Oryzias latipes: one gene and its partners. The protein of the gene in region 3 interacts with the protein of the main gene of each other region in a biochemical or structural test. Links are inferred from orthologs where the notes say so. Each region holds a gene or a part of one and is shown on either strand. Other genes may lie near its edges. The genes, in order: cript, gda and dlg3.

Region 1 (4,098 bases), on a different chromosome or scaffold from region 3:
GATTTTTTTCTAATAGACTTACTCAATCAACGGGGCTCCATAAAGGACAATCACAGTGTGGAAGAACAGACATGACAAGAAAAAGTACAGACAGGCACGAAACAGCCTGGAAAGCTGTGGAAAGAAACAGGATTATCATTATTACCAAAAAGTTACAACGTAGACATTTGAGAAAAATCCACTTAAAAAATGAACAATTTTTATATGTAAAAGCTCAGAAAAATTATTTTTTTATATGAGTTTGTTGTAGCAGAAAAATGTTAATAAGCAACAATTGCATATAGACTGTCATATGAATTTAAAATGTTTAACGTGAAAATAAAGCACTGTAGCAAATGTTTATAAACTCAATTAAAAATGTGTTCAAATCAGAAATACACATTTCTAATTATTACTGAAACGTCCATTTGCAAATTTGTTTTTTAAAAACGAGACAAAACGTTTACGAGTAAATAATAGGAATTAATTGTTTTGAAAAACCTAGTTTTCTATTATTTTAAATTGTGTAATAATTATTTCTGATACTTCTCTCATATACGTATGACTATTTGGCAAAAACCTTAAACAAATCAAGCACATTTCTTTGGGTTTGGACAAAATAAAGACATTTCCGAGGGAAGACATTCTGACCTTATATCCAAGTGTATTTTTTTTAGTGGACGGTGTGACGCCGAGGAGCCAGAAGACGACGACACTGACAGCATTCACAGCACCGGATGTGCAGTACAGCCACAACAGGTGAGTGCCGTACACCGAGAAGCTTAGAACAAAAACTGCAGGTAGCACCGTAGCCATGAACATCGAAGCGGCGATCAGAGCGTGGGTCGACACCATGGCTCTGATTTCGTGGTCCCACATGATGAAGACTTTCACTTTTCACAACAAGACAATAGAATAATGTAGATAATTTCAGTAGAGGTGTCTTAGAATTTTGGTAGGCGAAAGGACACGCAAATCCATGTATGACTACGCTTCCGTAAATATGAAAAAAAAAAAGCAATTTCCGTTTGCGTTTCACAATAAAACAGAAGATTCTCTTTTGATTGTTAATTTCTACCAATTTCTTTGTTTTGACATACATTACCCAACATATTTAAATCATATTCAACACTTTATAATAAAATACTATTTTCTAAAGTGAAATTTATATTTTCGAGTGCTGATTCCGTGGCGAAAATATTGTTACTCTCATTTTACTTTTATTCTGGATTTTAGAAATGCGCTTCTAGTCGGAGTGAACGAATCACATAACGTTTTACTGACAGGATTACCCAATGAGATTTGTTTGTACAAGTTGACGAAGACAACCGGAAGTTACATGAGCAGAGCTAGCTTGAACGCTTGTACACATTTTATATCAAGACAGGCCAAGTAAACGCAGCTGAGATGGTTTGTGAAAAATGTAAATATCGCACTTTCGCCTTGTTTCTTACATAATTTTACACTTATGACTTAGTTAATATAGTTAGTTAGTGACATTTTTGTTGTTTTGTTGAGTGGCTAATATTTTGTTATGCTAGCATTTGTTTTGGTTTTCCTTGCTCGTAGTTAGCTTTGTTAATTATTAATAATTCTTTGTTAATGTGGGATTTCCTAATATTTTAGGCGAAAAGAAGCTCGGAAAGGTCATCACTCCTGACACTTGGAAGGATGGAGCACGAAATACGACTGGTAACGTAGTCTCTATCCAAAAACATCCAAAAATGTTTACACGTTTAATAATTTAGACAATCGTGGAACGACAGGTAAAATAAATATGTTGCCCCCAAAAAATCTGTCTTGTAAATGAACGTCATTAAGGAATCGAAACGATGGAAGGAGAAGCTACTGCTAAAATATTTATTAGAACAGTACTCATTTACATATCTGTTTTCCCCGTCGGTCGGTCGGTCGGTCGGTCGGTCTGTCTGTCTGTCGGTCTGTCTGTCGGCTCATTTTCGGCCTACATCATAAAATTGTCTATTTATTTAAAAGTATTTATGCCCTACGTTCCTTTTCAAGAAAATGGTCTGTGACCCTGTCGTACCAACTAGGTGTCTCAACTGACTTGACCAATGTCCTCTCAATGGCCAGCAGAGCTAGGCTGCTTAAACAGCCTTAGCCCATTGTGTTTCGGGTGTAGGACTTAAGTCACTTTAAACAGGAGAAGCTCCTTTCTACACCTGCAGATGTAACTCCAATTGTTGCCACTAATGAGAACAGTTTGTAAAGCTGAGGCATTGGACTGTCCAACTCCATGTCTTTAAGGAACACCAAGTAATCATACAGCTTTCCCCTGTTACCCTGCAAGTCCTGATCTGAAAACAGGACTTGAAGTTCTGACCTCAGTCTTCCTGAATCAAAGGGAAGAATTAACTATCTAAAAAAAAATATTAAACTCTGTAAAACTGAAACAATCAATGTGGTGTATAATTGTGTGAAATGTATGATGAAAATCAAGCAATTTAGCCCAGCAATTATCAAAGAAATAGGTTGCAGCAGTTTTTAGTTCGACTGAACTTGAGAAATGTGAATAAGCGAAAAGCTTCAGTCAGAAGGCGGTCTTTTAACAGACCCTTCAATCATCACGGAGAAGCTCGGAGTTTGGGCTGGCCCACTCCCCACTCACCCCCAGAGACGCTGAGCATCCGTTGGCGGGACATAATCACAGCGTTTATCCAATGACCATCTAGTTTCGAAGCGCAGAAAAAAAATGTTCAAAGCAGCCCGATTGAAGTCAATGGACGCTGGGCTTCTTTAGAGAAATGCACTGTGATGCTGCGGGAATGTATGAGAAGGAAATCGAGTCAGGCGACTTGCTATATGTAACTGATTCTTAACGAACTCGTCTTTGAGATGAACGTTTTCTTACACATTTTTAGTCAATAAAATGTTAATAAAATAAAATACAATACAATACAATAGTACATATTTGACCATTTATTTTGTGACATTATAAGGGAAGCAGAGCTTCCCTTGCAGTCTTAAAGAAATCGCCACTGGTATGTATGTATGTACATACATGTGTATATATAATCTCACAATGTTGTTTTATTTTTCTTAGAGAGTGGAGGCCGTAAACTAAATGAAAACAAGATGTTGACATCTAAGAAGGCCAGGTGAGTATTGCACTGTGAAAAAACTTTTACTCATAAATCAAATGGCAGTGTAGTAGTTTCTAGCTTTCTGTAAGCACTAGTGGTTTATTTTGCTGTTAAGGTTCTTTGATGTTGCTAATTCTCAATGTTTAACTGTGGTTTTTCTCAGGTTCGACCCTTACAGTAAGACGGGCTTTGCCATCTGCAGAATCTGCAAGAGCTCTGTTCATCAGCCTGGATCGCACTACTGCCAGGGCTGTGCTTACAAGAAAGGTATAGTTGTGCACTTAAACTCTATTTTTATTTTCTTCAATACAAATTGAAGGTAACATGTCAAAAATTAACACTACAATGTATTGTAGAACCAAAAATCATATTAAAGCAGAACAGTATTAAGTAGGTTTTTCATTTTTATGTTCAGTCATAATATTGATATAAATTTGTCTGTAATTTTGTAAATCTTTACTATAACCAACATTGTGCTGGCATATGTTTGTGCTTCCATAACAGATGCCCATTTATATAAATGTACACATGTTGGCAAGTCCTTTATTATCTTCTCACTACACACTTTAATTTATAAAATATCCTTTGATGTAAATGTAATTTTTTTAGGGTTCCTGGTGACTGATACAAAGAATTTAAAGGTATAGGAATAGGTTAACTTAACTGTTTGTTTATGTCTGTAAAGTATTTGAACTGAGTGATGAAATTCAAACCTCAAAAGCCATATTTTTACAAACCTCGACCCCAGCCCCAAGCACTCGGCTTGCAGAAGTGGATACAAGGTTTTACATTGATTGCAGAATTGCATGTTGTGCCCCAAATATTGCAGGTTTTGATGAAGTGGTCAAAAATAGCCCCTGAGCTAAAAATTATGCCTGAATATATGCACAACCCAAACTGCTGTGAAACAACAACTAAATGGGCAAAAATAAAATATTTATTTATTGAGATGTTTGTCAAACTTTGCTATTCAAGTGAAACCCAAAGGCTCAAACTTACCGGGTGGTGATATTTT
Region 2 (4,145 bases), on a different chromosome or scaffold from region 3:
TCAGTGTTTCCTGTCATGACCTGCAATGACATTTCCAGTGTCAACACTTTTTCAGTCCACTGTTGTGTTTAATTACCCCAGGATATTTGATTAATAATGATATTTTTTTAAATAATTTTATCAGTATAGTTTAGTTTTTACTTTTTACTTTTTAGACCCAATCCCATCCTTGTTCCACTCTTTAGTAACCTGAGCATGCATGTGGTAGACCTTTGTACAGCACGTTTAGTTATTTTTTTTAATTTGAAAAAAAAGGAAAAATCTAAAACCAGGTTAATTTGTTTTGAATTAAGTTTGTTTTTAACCTGGCCGGATGTATTCTTCCTCATCTGAGATGCTGAGATACAAATCTTTCAGACGCTTTTTGCATGTGTGTAACAAGGATGTGCTTCCCCAAGTGTCACCGATTCAGTGCATGATCAGCGGGTGACTTAGGGTGGAGAGCTGTTGCTGCGCCTGTTTGTGCTACTGTGACTAAACATCTGGAATGAAGTTAGAGAATGCACATTTATATCAGATTTTCTGAAAGGAATTGTATGACCAAGGAAAATTTTATCTGATTTTACATGCTTAGTCATTGTCTTAATCTAACTCTGAATGCTATACCGAGTCGAACTGCCTGATACAACGCACAAAAGGGGAAACGAAAGTACAAATTTTAAAGAGCACATGGATGCAAGATAATAAATGTACCAATGCTGAAAACTGATGTTCAAGAAGTAACAGCTAGCTGTAAGGAGGACAAAGGTTAGAGTTCAATGTACCTGATTACATAAAATGACTGTAAAACTGTCAAAGCCAATGTTTGGTTCAGCTCGGCTGCATCGTTACACATTTATGTGACCATGTGTTCTGAATGACGCAAGCACATTGATAAGGACAAAGCATAAAGGTGAAGCTCCATTCAGATTTTACAGGATTTTTAACTGAAGAGAGAAGCAATTCTCCTTAAAACAGTTAAGATACCTGAACTTGTATTGTACTTTGAGCTGGTGCTCTACTTTTAACGGATACTGTACAACTGGAAGAGGTGCTGCATAATAAAGTGGGAAAAATTTACTTAAATCGTCACAATGAGTTTCTAAAGTTGTCTGAAAATTATGCTTTAAAAGTACGTTTTCTTTTTTTTAATAATCTGTGTTTTTGTGTACTCTTTGGAGATGGGACATGCTGTTTGAGGAAGCCCATATTTAAAAGGATCAATGCATGTGTGGGTTTGCATGTAGGAAATCTTACTTGCAATCTGACCCAACAGAAGAGAGGCATCTGTATGTATGGTAGCAAAGTAACATGCAGTTGTTGTTCCGTTTCTTAAAGTCCTCTTCTGTAAAGCACAGAAACCAAAGCATGGATTAACACTCATTTTAAATGCCTGTACAGTTTAGGTTACAAATCTCAAAGGCCACATGAAAAACTGCAAGCATACGGTGTCTTTATGACACTAAAATGACCCAACAACCTTTGTTATAGGGCCATGCTGAGACTGTTTAGTCTCAAAGATACCATTTGCCAAAACTCACCACTACTTGTGTGTAGATTTTCTTGGCAAACTCCAAGTCCTTGAAGTGTGACTCCACAGGGAAGGTGTAAGTATTGAGCCACTGCAGTAAAGGCATGTCCAAGGCTGTGCCTGCGTAGCTGTACTGGGATGCATGGATGTGTGTGTCAATCATTCCTGGCATGAAGAACTCACTGCAGAATCAAATTAAAGTTAGATAAAAAATGCATTTTTCAAATCATATTTCATTTATAATATATATTTTAAAGCAAGATATGCACATTTATGTTTCAAAGATGTGTTTTTTACATCCCGTCTTTGCCGACCAATATTATTGCTATTATGATGCTATTACCCATGCAGATTCCCCTTTACGTTGAGTTCATTCATTCATTTTTGGTCCTTTTTCAAGACGATCGTGTTCAAACTCATCCATCCCAATCAACTAAAATCAAAACTTGTAAATCTACAACTAAAGGTTTTGATTTGACTTACTGTTGTGCCAGTTGATTGACGTCTGATGGGTTGAATCCAAACTTCTGAGACAGTTCCAGTAAGTTTTCACCCTTTCCAATGAAAGAAATCTGACAAGCCAAAAAGAAATCAGGTAAATTCTTTTTGAAAATTGCAAGATGTGAAAGGTGAAAATGTTGATAAAATTCTGTGCAATGTAAAAATAAATTTGAAAAGAATTAATAACACTTTGAATAGACTGTACTTGGAAGATCCCCACTCAGGAGGTATTTTAGGGCAATATTGTTGCACTATTCTCAGAGTAATGCTGCAACATTGTTTTATAATGCTTGAGTGCAAACTGAGAAAAACTAACTTTAGTATTTTCTTAATTTTTATTTTACTTTCTAGGGAGAAGTTTTGCTGTTTATTTAGCCTCATCCTTTTATTGTGTTCAAAAACTTAAACAGTATTTAATAAAAGTTTACCATAACTAGACTATTAGGTTATGTGATTAATAGCAGTTGAAAAAAAAGACCTGCACTTTGCTTTAGATTCACGGGGATTTAAAGTAAACAAATGCTGCGAAAATTAACATTAACATACATTCGTTTATTTTTAAAACCAGTGAAACGCAAAAATGCAAATATTTCGTTTTGTTTTTATTTTCATTTCAGAAAGGGACCAACCTTCCCGGCAGTGTCCACTCCCAGGAGCGCGTCCTCCAGGACCTGCAGCGCCGTTTCGGGGGTCGAGTGGATAAATGTCCCCCTGAAAACGTGCGTAACTGGGCCGCTGGAACACTCCGAGTTTGCCATCTTTCCTCCAGATCACTGTCAATCACTCAGTTTGACATTGGCCGGTGGATTTTTATTCTAAGTGAAGCTCAGAGTAACACCCACTAGGAGGCAGGACTTCCAGCAGCCAATAGAAGGACAGGAGGTGGTTGCGCTTTTTCAGGTGCGTCTGCCCGCGCGGCTTGGGTTTATCCATAAACGCTTTTTTGTTGGCGTGCAGGAAAGTAAGCCCTCATCTTTTCTATTGTTCCAAAGAGTATGCCAAACTTTGCATTAACTTTAAATGTTATATAAGAATGGCAACATATAATATGCAGGAACATAATGAAAAAGGCTCGTTGAAGTCCATCAACTTCTGAAAGTAATTCCAAGTACATCCTTTTATAAATAAAGCAAAATGTTATACTATTTTTTTTCTTTAAAAATGCTTTGCAAATTGGCACATAACATTGTAATTTTTAACAGGGAGACAGATTTTTAAAAATTAACTTTATGATATAGAATTCCCGACCATTAAATAATCTGTGAAATAATTAATAGATTTATGACCAAAGTTTAGGTGCTGGCTTCTCATTCATATACTTGATACCCTTTAGGTGATGTACTTTTAAAATGTATACAGGTTTAATTTAACAATCCAGCTTAAAAACATGTTAAATTCAAGATTTTAAGACGTCTTTATGAGGGTGCTTAGAGTATTTAGCTACATGTGTCCCTGTATGAATGGTTGTACCCTGCCTTCATCCAAAATGTAATAGTCACCTTTTAGTGTAATTGTACCCGTTTTTTCTTTTTCTATAAAAATGAACACGCTAACATTTTTAATGACTATGGAACATGAAATTCAGAGATTTTATAGAGGAAAAGATTCTTCTTTTTCAAATAATATTGTATATGCAGAAAACAAGCCCAGTGAGGTGCATTAACAAGGGAATGTGACCCCTCTGTGACCAACACATTCATATTTATGAGAAACACATTGAAGTTACAACATTGTTATATTTATAAAGTCCACATGACTAATGACATGAATTTATGATGATGCTAGCATGCACCAAAGGGATGATCTGCACAGAACTTATGGTTATCCTGTGACTTGATGCAGAAAAAGGAGAACTTTCTCTGACATTTCTTATTTCTGAGTAAAAGTTACTTCATGGAAAACATTACATCATTTTTTTGGAAGGTAAAAGTTATCTGACTTTATGTGGCTGAACTTTCAGCATGGCACCCAGTGGCACCCAACTATAGCTCAAAATCCCCTTCACTCACAAATCAAAGTCACATAAACGTTTCAATAGTTTCAACACCTGGGCAAAAATGGCAGACCAATTATTTAAAAAAAATGTAAGAAACCTTCCTAAATTAAGAGTAAGCATAAATCTATTTAGAACTTA
Region 3 (4,329 bases):
GACAGGTTGCACCCGCTAACTGGTTTCAACTAGTCTGGAGCTCCATGTGGGTTAATATAAGCAAAATGTATTCATTAATGTGCTAATAAAAAGTATAAGTATAAACAAAAAGCCTTCATTTAATACAAAACAAAACATCAGAACCCAAGCTCTCATTGAGAAAGGGAAGGCGTGCAATCTGGACAAACTGTCAGTCCATCACAGGTCTGCATGGAAACAAACAACATTAAAGAAAACAATGCATTTAGTTCCCAAAATTAACCAATCCTGGATGTTTTACCCTTTAGAAAACCCCACACAGGTTTCTAACCTCAGTGCTACCCTTATCAAATGTAAATTAATCGCAAAGCAGTTGAAAAGGACATTTTATTGCTACTAAATTTACAATCCTGAAGCCTTGCAGATTAAAACTAATGGATTCTAAAGTCTGCATGTAAGCAACAATTTCTTACATAATCTCGCTTGCTGAAACCTTTTAAATGCCATCAACATTAAATGCACCTGCTTGAGTTGAGGTGCAGTTCTAACCGGGGACAAATGCTCATCTTTTTGCCCCCCAAAAAAGCTTAAATTCCTGCCTGCTAATATCAGCCAGGCTCATAAGAAGGTTCAGCTCAGCAGATCTCTCCCACTCTGCTTGCACATTCGTAGCCTCCATTTTCTCCTCGTCTCCTTTCTTTCAACTCTTCCTCGCAAAAAAAAAACCCATCACACTAAAGCAGAGGAGATGCAAACAATGCACCAGCTTCACTTGACGCAAATGAGAGACCGTATAGACGCATACTCATGCACGGCTAGCACGGTTTCTTGAATCTCATGCTCTCCGAGCTACCCTTCCCCCACACAGGATCACTGGTGCTCTCATACATGCACCTTGCTTAATTAAAGGGTGCTTCTGAAGCCGTCCTGACCTTTCCTCAACTGTAAGTCATAAACACGTGTAAATAAATGAATTAGGAAACGCTGGAAGGGGAGGTTTTGTTCGTTCTGTGGGACAGATTTCCAGCCTTTTGAAACATGTTTTTTATCTGTATTACACAACTAATACATTAGGCTGTGAATCTTTAAGCTAAATTTGCGCACTAATATAAGTGAGGCCGCATTAAACCAATTCCTCATTTCCTCCTCTTGTCTAATGATACAAAACCCATATATTTGATGTTGCTAGAAGTATGAATGTTTTACATCGAATTTCCTAAACCTATTGATAGCACCTGAGAAATGCTTCAATGCCAATAGAGCAGTGGTTTGGGCCTGCGGCTGCTGCACAAGCCTTTGACTAGTTGATTTCATCTACATGATGTGTTAAATCTAAAACATTAGTCATTTGCATCAATCCCAAACATGACGATCATCTCCATGCGTGCGCAGTGAAACCAGATCATTCCTGTTTTACTAGAGGGACAACAGTTGTCAAAAAAGAACCAGAGGGCTTGAGATAAATACTCCATATGAACTCTCTTTCAGACACAGCTGATACATCATCAGCTTCTGTTTCACTATATTAGCCTACAGTTGCATTTACGTCCCCTTCTTCCCACACAGGCCCCAAAAGCTTCAATTGGTTAAAGAAGTCAGGAAGATGGGTTACCTGGTCGTACCACTCCCGATTGGTGCAGGTGCACTCAGGCCACCATCCTCCTTGTCCACTTGAGTTGTTACCATTTACTTTTGGGCCACTCTTGGACTGGCCTTTTGGGTTGGGGCCTCCAGGGCCTCCTCCAGACATCATTTTCCCCTTACTTCTTCCCAAAGTTCCCCCTCCTCCTCCCATGCTTCCACCTCCCCCTGAAGCTGGAGGGGGTAAGGTCTGTCCACCTCCATACCCTGGTGGGTATCCATAGGGTTCAGCCTGCCAGTCTCCTCCATATGCCGGGGCGTCCATCCTACGCAGGGCAGCCATCCGGGTTACCTCATAACATTCTGGGCACTTGCAGCAGTGGTGGTGTTTGTGCATGCTGGCTGTGCTGGCTGGGTTGATGCTGAGATGGGCGGCGTAGCACTCTGTCTTTGCTGCCTCCTCAGATCTCACAGAACCCTCTGTGATCGGTTCACAGAGTGCTAATGCCGGCACAGATAACACTAATAGCAGGAATTTCTACAGATTGGCTCCTTTTCATCAAATCCTCACCACCGACGCCTTTATTCCTCTAGGATGCTGGTTAAAAAAAACACAAAAAACTGAGCGATCTGGATGGATGACAAGCAGCACAGGAACACAAAAATACAAAATGGTCACGTAGTCTTTGTCCTCTTGACGTAGAAGATCAAAGGAAAATTTTTAAATATTGTATGCCACCATGCAATCAGAGACCAGCCCTGATGACAAAAATTTCCTCTCGCTTCTCTTGGCTCACAGTGATACGCAAATAAATTCATAGATATATACATACACACATGTGTGTATGTATATATATTATTCTGATTATATATATATATATATATATATATTTACACACACAAGTATATAAAAATAGTCATATAAACAGACAAGCACAATTACAGATATGTACAGAGATAAATGTATATATATATATATATATATATAGATTATTTATATATATATATATATCTATATATCTATATGCGTGTGTACAAATATATATATAAATATATAAACAATATGTATAAATAAATGATATCCGCAGATGAAAATCTTCCTCCGTTGGCTGTCTTCCGGTTGGTTGAAAAAAATCTCACGTTTTTAGTCCTGCTTTGAGAATGGTCTTTCGTTCTCCTCTTTTTCTCAGCCGGCAGAGGAGCTGAGCACTTGGTTGCCTCTCAGCCAGCTTGCCCTAGATGTGGATTATTGAGAGGGAAGCGAGCAAGCTAGAGGGTGGCGAAGAGAGAAAGGGAGGGGCGGAAAGGAATACGTAGCAGCATCCCTCTAGCACCTCAGCCCTAAGAGCTGCAGCCAATCAACTCTCAGCGCTGCCATCAGCAGCAGCACCAACAGGACTGAGCACTTCCACAGCTCCTCTTAAAGGGGAAGCAGCACCTAAACCTTAATCGCTTTCTGCCATTGGCTAAGAAGGGACCTTTCACAAATATTGCCACATTAAACACCCAACATGTGCTCCTTTCATTTACGATCTCCAACAAAACTGTAAAATTTCTATGTTACGGTTAAACAGGGATAACACCCCGACGCAAAATCTAATCCACCCTTTGCGAGTTTAATCCGTGTTTTTCATCAAACCAGTGCAGCCAGAATCCAACTTTCAATGAGCAACTCTGTCCCTCTGACTAATCACTGGTCACATCCCCAGTCATCTCCAGTTCAGCTGCAGATTTAGCTGCTTTCTGAGGCTGTCAGCTGTCAACCTTGGGCTCTGTGTCAGAGCACACATCTGTAAATAATCTCACGACGGGTGTGGGAGGAACAGAGGAAAATCCTTTACTTTGCGGATAACACTCGGCCTGCCTCTGGACAGCAAAAATCTTAGAATCCCCTCGCTTTGCTTTGCAATGTTGTCCTCTGGAGTCTAAATATTTCATCTCACATGTGCAGGTCAAAACACACACAGAGGCAGAGAACTGTGCTCCTCTTTTAGGAACATTTTTTTGTGTGTCTTCAGGATGATGACATCAACACATGTGTACCAAACCAACAAGATTACACGCTCTGGCTTTCGAGTGGGTGGAGGAAGAGATTGAGAGTGAAAATGCACGAGGGGGGGAGAAGAAAGAATGAGAGCTACATGGCTTTCATGTATCTGTGGCAGTTATATTCGCAGTAATGTGATAGGACTGCCAGTGAACCATTTTGCATACTTGTGAATTTGTGGGTTGATCACAGCTAGATATAACGGATTCCGACACAGGGGATGAAGGCTAATCATAACAGAGAGCTGAGAGAGAATGTAACGGTGTCGCCATTAAAGTCCTGCATATATGCATTATTAATGAAATGTGACGGGGATCCAAACTGGGTGTGTCTGCATGGGGGAGAGAGTATCTTTCTATATGGCCTGTATGTTGCAATGTTGCACTCACTAAGGCATTCACTGCCTTGATATTTCATGCATCTTATGATCTATGCAATCTATGCATCAACTTCATCAGGATCTTCAGCGCGGTGCTGCAGCGAACCAGTAGGCACACACAGCAAGCTCAGCCACACTTAATTACATGCAACAGTAACTCCCTTCATTAGAATGATATTCTTTCACTCCAACCTGCAGAGAGTCTCCATGGAGCGAAAGCACGAGGAAGTCAGGTGCTTTAGTTTGTTTTTTTTTAAACCAGGAACCACTTCACACCTTCTCTAGCCAGTGAAAGTGAGAGGGTGAAGGCCAAAAAAAAAAACCCCACCAGCGTGAAGGACTG

What was found.
Region 1: the proteins of dlg3 (region 3) and cript form a complex in vitro, tested with the Homo sapiens proteins (2 studies listed by BioGRID and IntAct, with this or other methods). The link is inferred for Oryzias latipes from reciprocal best matches to the Homo sapiens genes DLG3 and CRIPT.
Region 2: the proteins of dlg3 (region 3) and gda form a complex in vitro, tested with the Homo sapiens proteins (2 studies listed by BioGRID and IntAct, with this or other methods). The link is inferred for Oryzias latipes from reciprocal best matches to the Homo sapiens genes DLG3 and GDA.

Annotation. Positions count from the first base shown.
Region 1 is NC_019877.2:12,480,850-12,484,947, reverse strand, and holds the start of cript (cysteine-rich PDZ-binding protein), read left to right. Parts: upstream 1-1,273; 5' UTR 1,274-1,386; coding exon 1,387-1,402; intron 1,403-1,605; coding exon 1,606-1,671; intron 1,672-3,043; coding exon 3,044-3,098; intron 3,099-3,246; coding exon 3,247-3,350; intron 3,351-4,098. Other genes in the region: pigf (phosphatidylinositol-glycan biosynthesis class F protein), read right to left, coding at 23-114, 631-858. UniProt on the Homo sapiens protein: As a component of the minor spliceosome, involved in the splicing of U12-type introns in pre-mRNAs. Involved in the cytoskeletal anchoring of DLG4 in excitatory synapses.
Region 2 is NC_019867.2:16,716,877-16,721,021, reverse strand, and holds the start of gda (guanine deaminase), read right to left. Parts: upstream 2,822-4,145; 5' UTR 2,770-2,821; coding exon 2,641-2,769; intron 2,083-2,640; coding exon 1,994-2,082; intron 1,693-1,993; coding exon 1,521-1,692; intron 1,325-1,520; coding exon 1,237-1,324; intron 1-1,236. UniProt on the Homo sapiens protein: Catalyzes the hydrolytic deamination of guanine, producing xanthine and ammonia.
Region 3 is NC_019868.2:11,302,535-11,306,863, reverse strand, and holds the start of dlg3 (disks large homolog 3), read right to left. Parts: upstream 2,804-4,329; 5' UTR 1,958-2,803; coding exon 1,592-1,957; intron 1-1,591. UniProt on the Homo sapiens protein: Required for learning most likely through its role in synaptic plasticity following NMDA receptor signaling.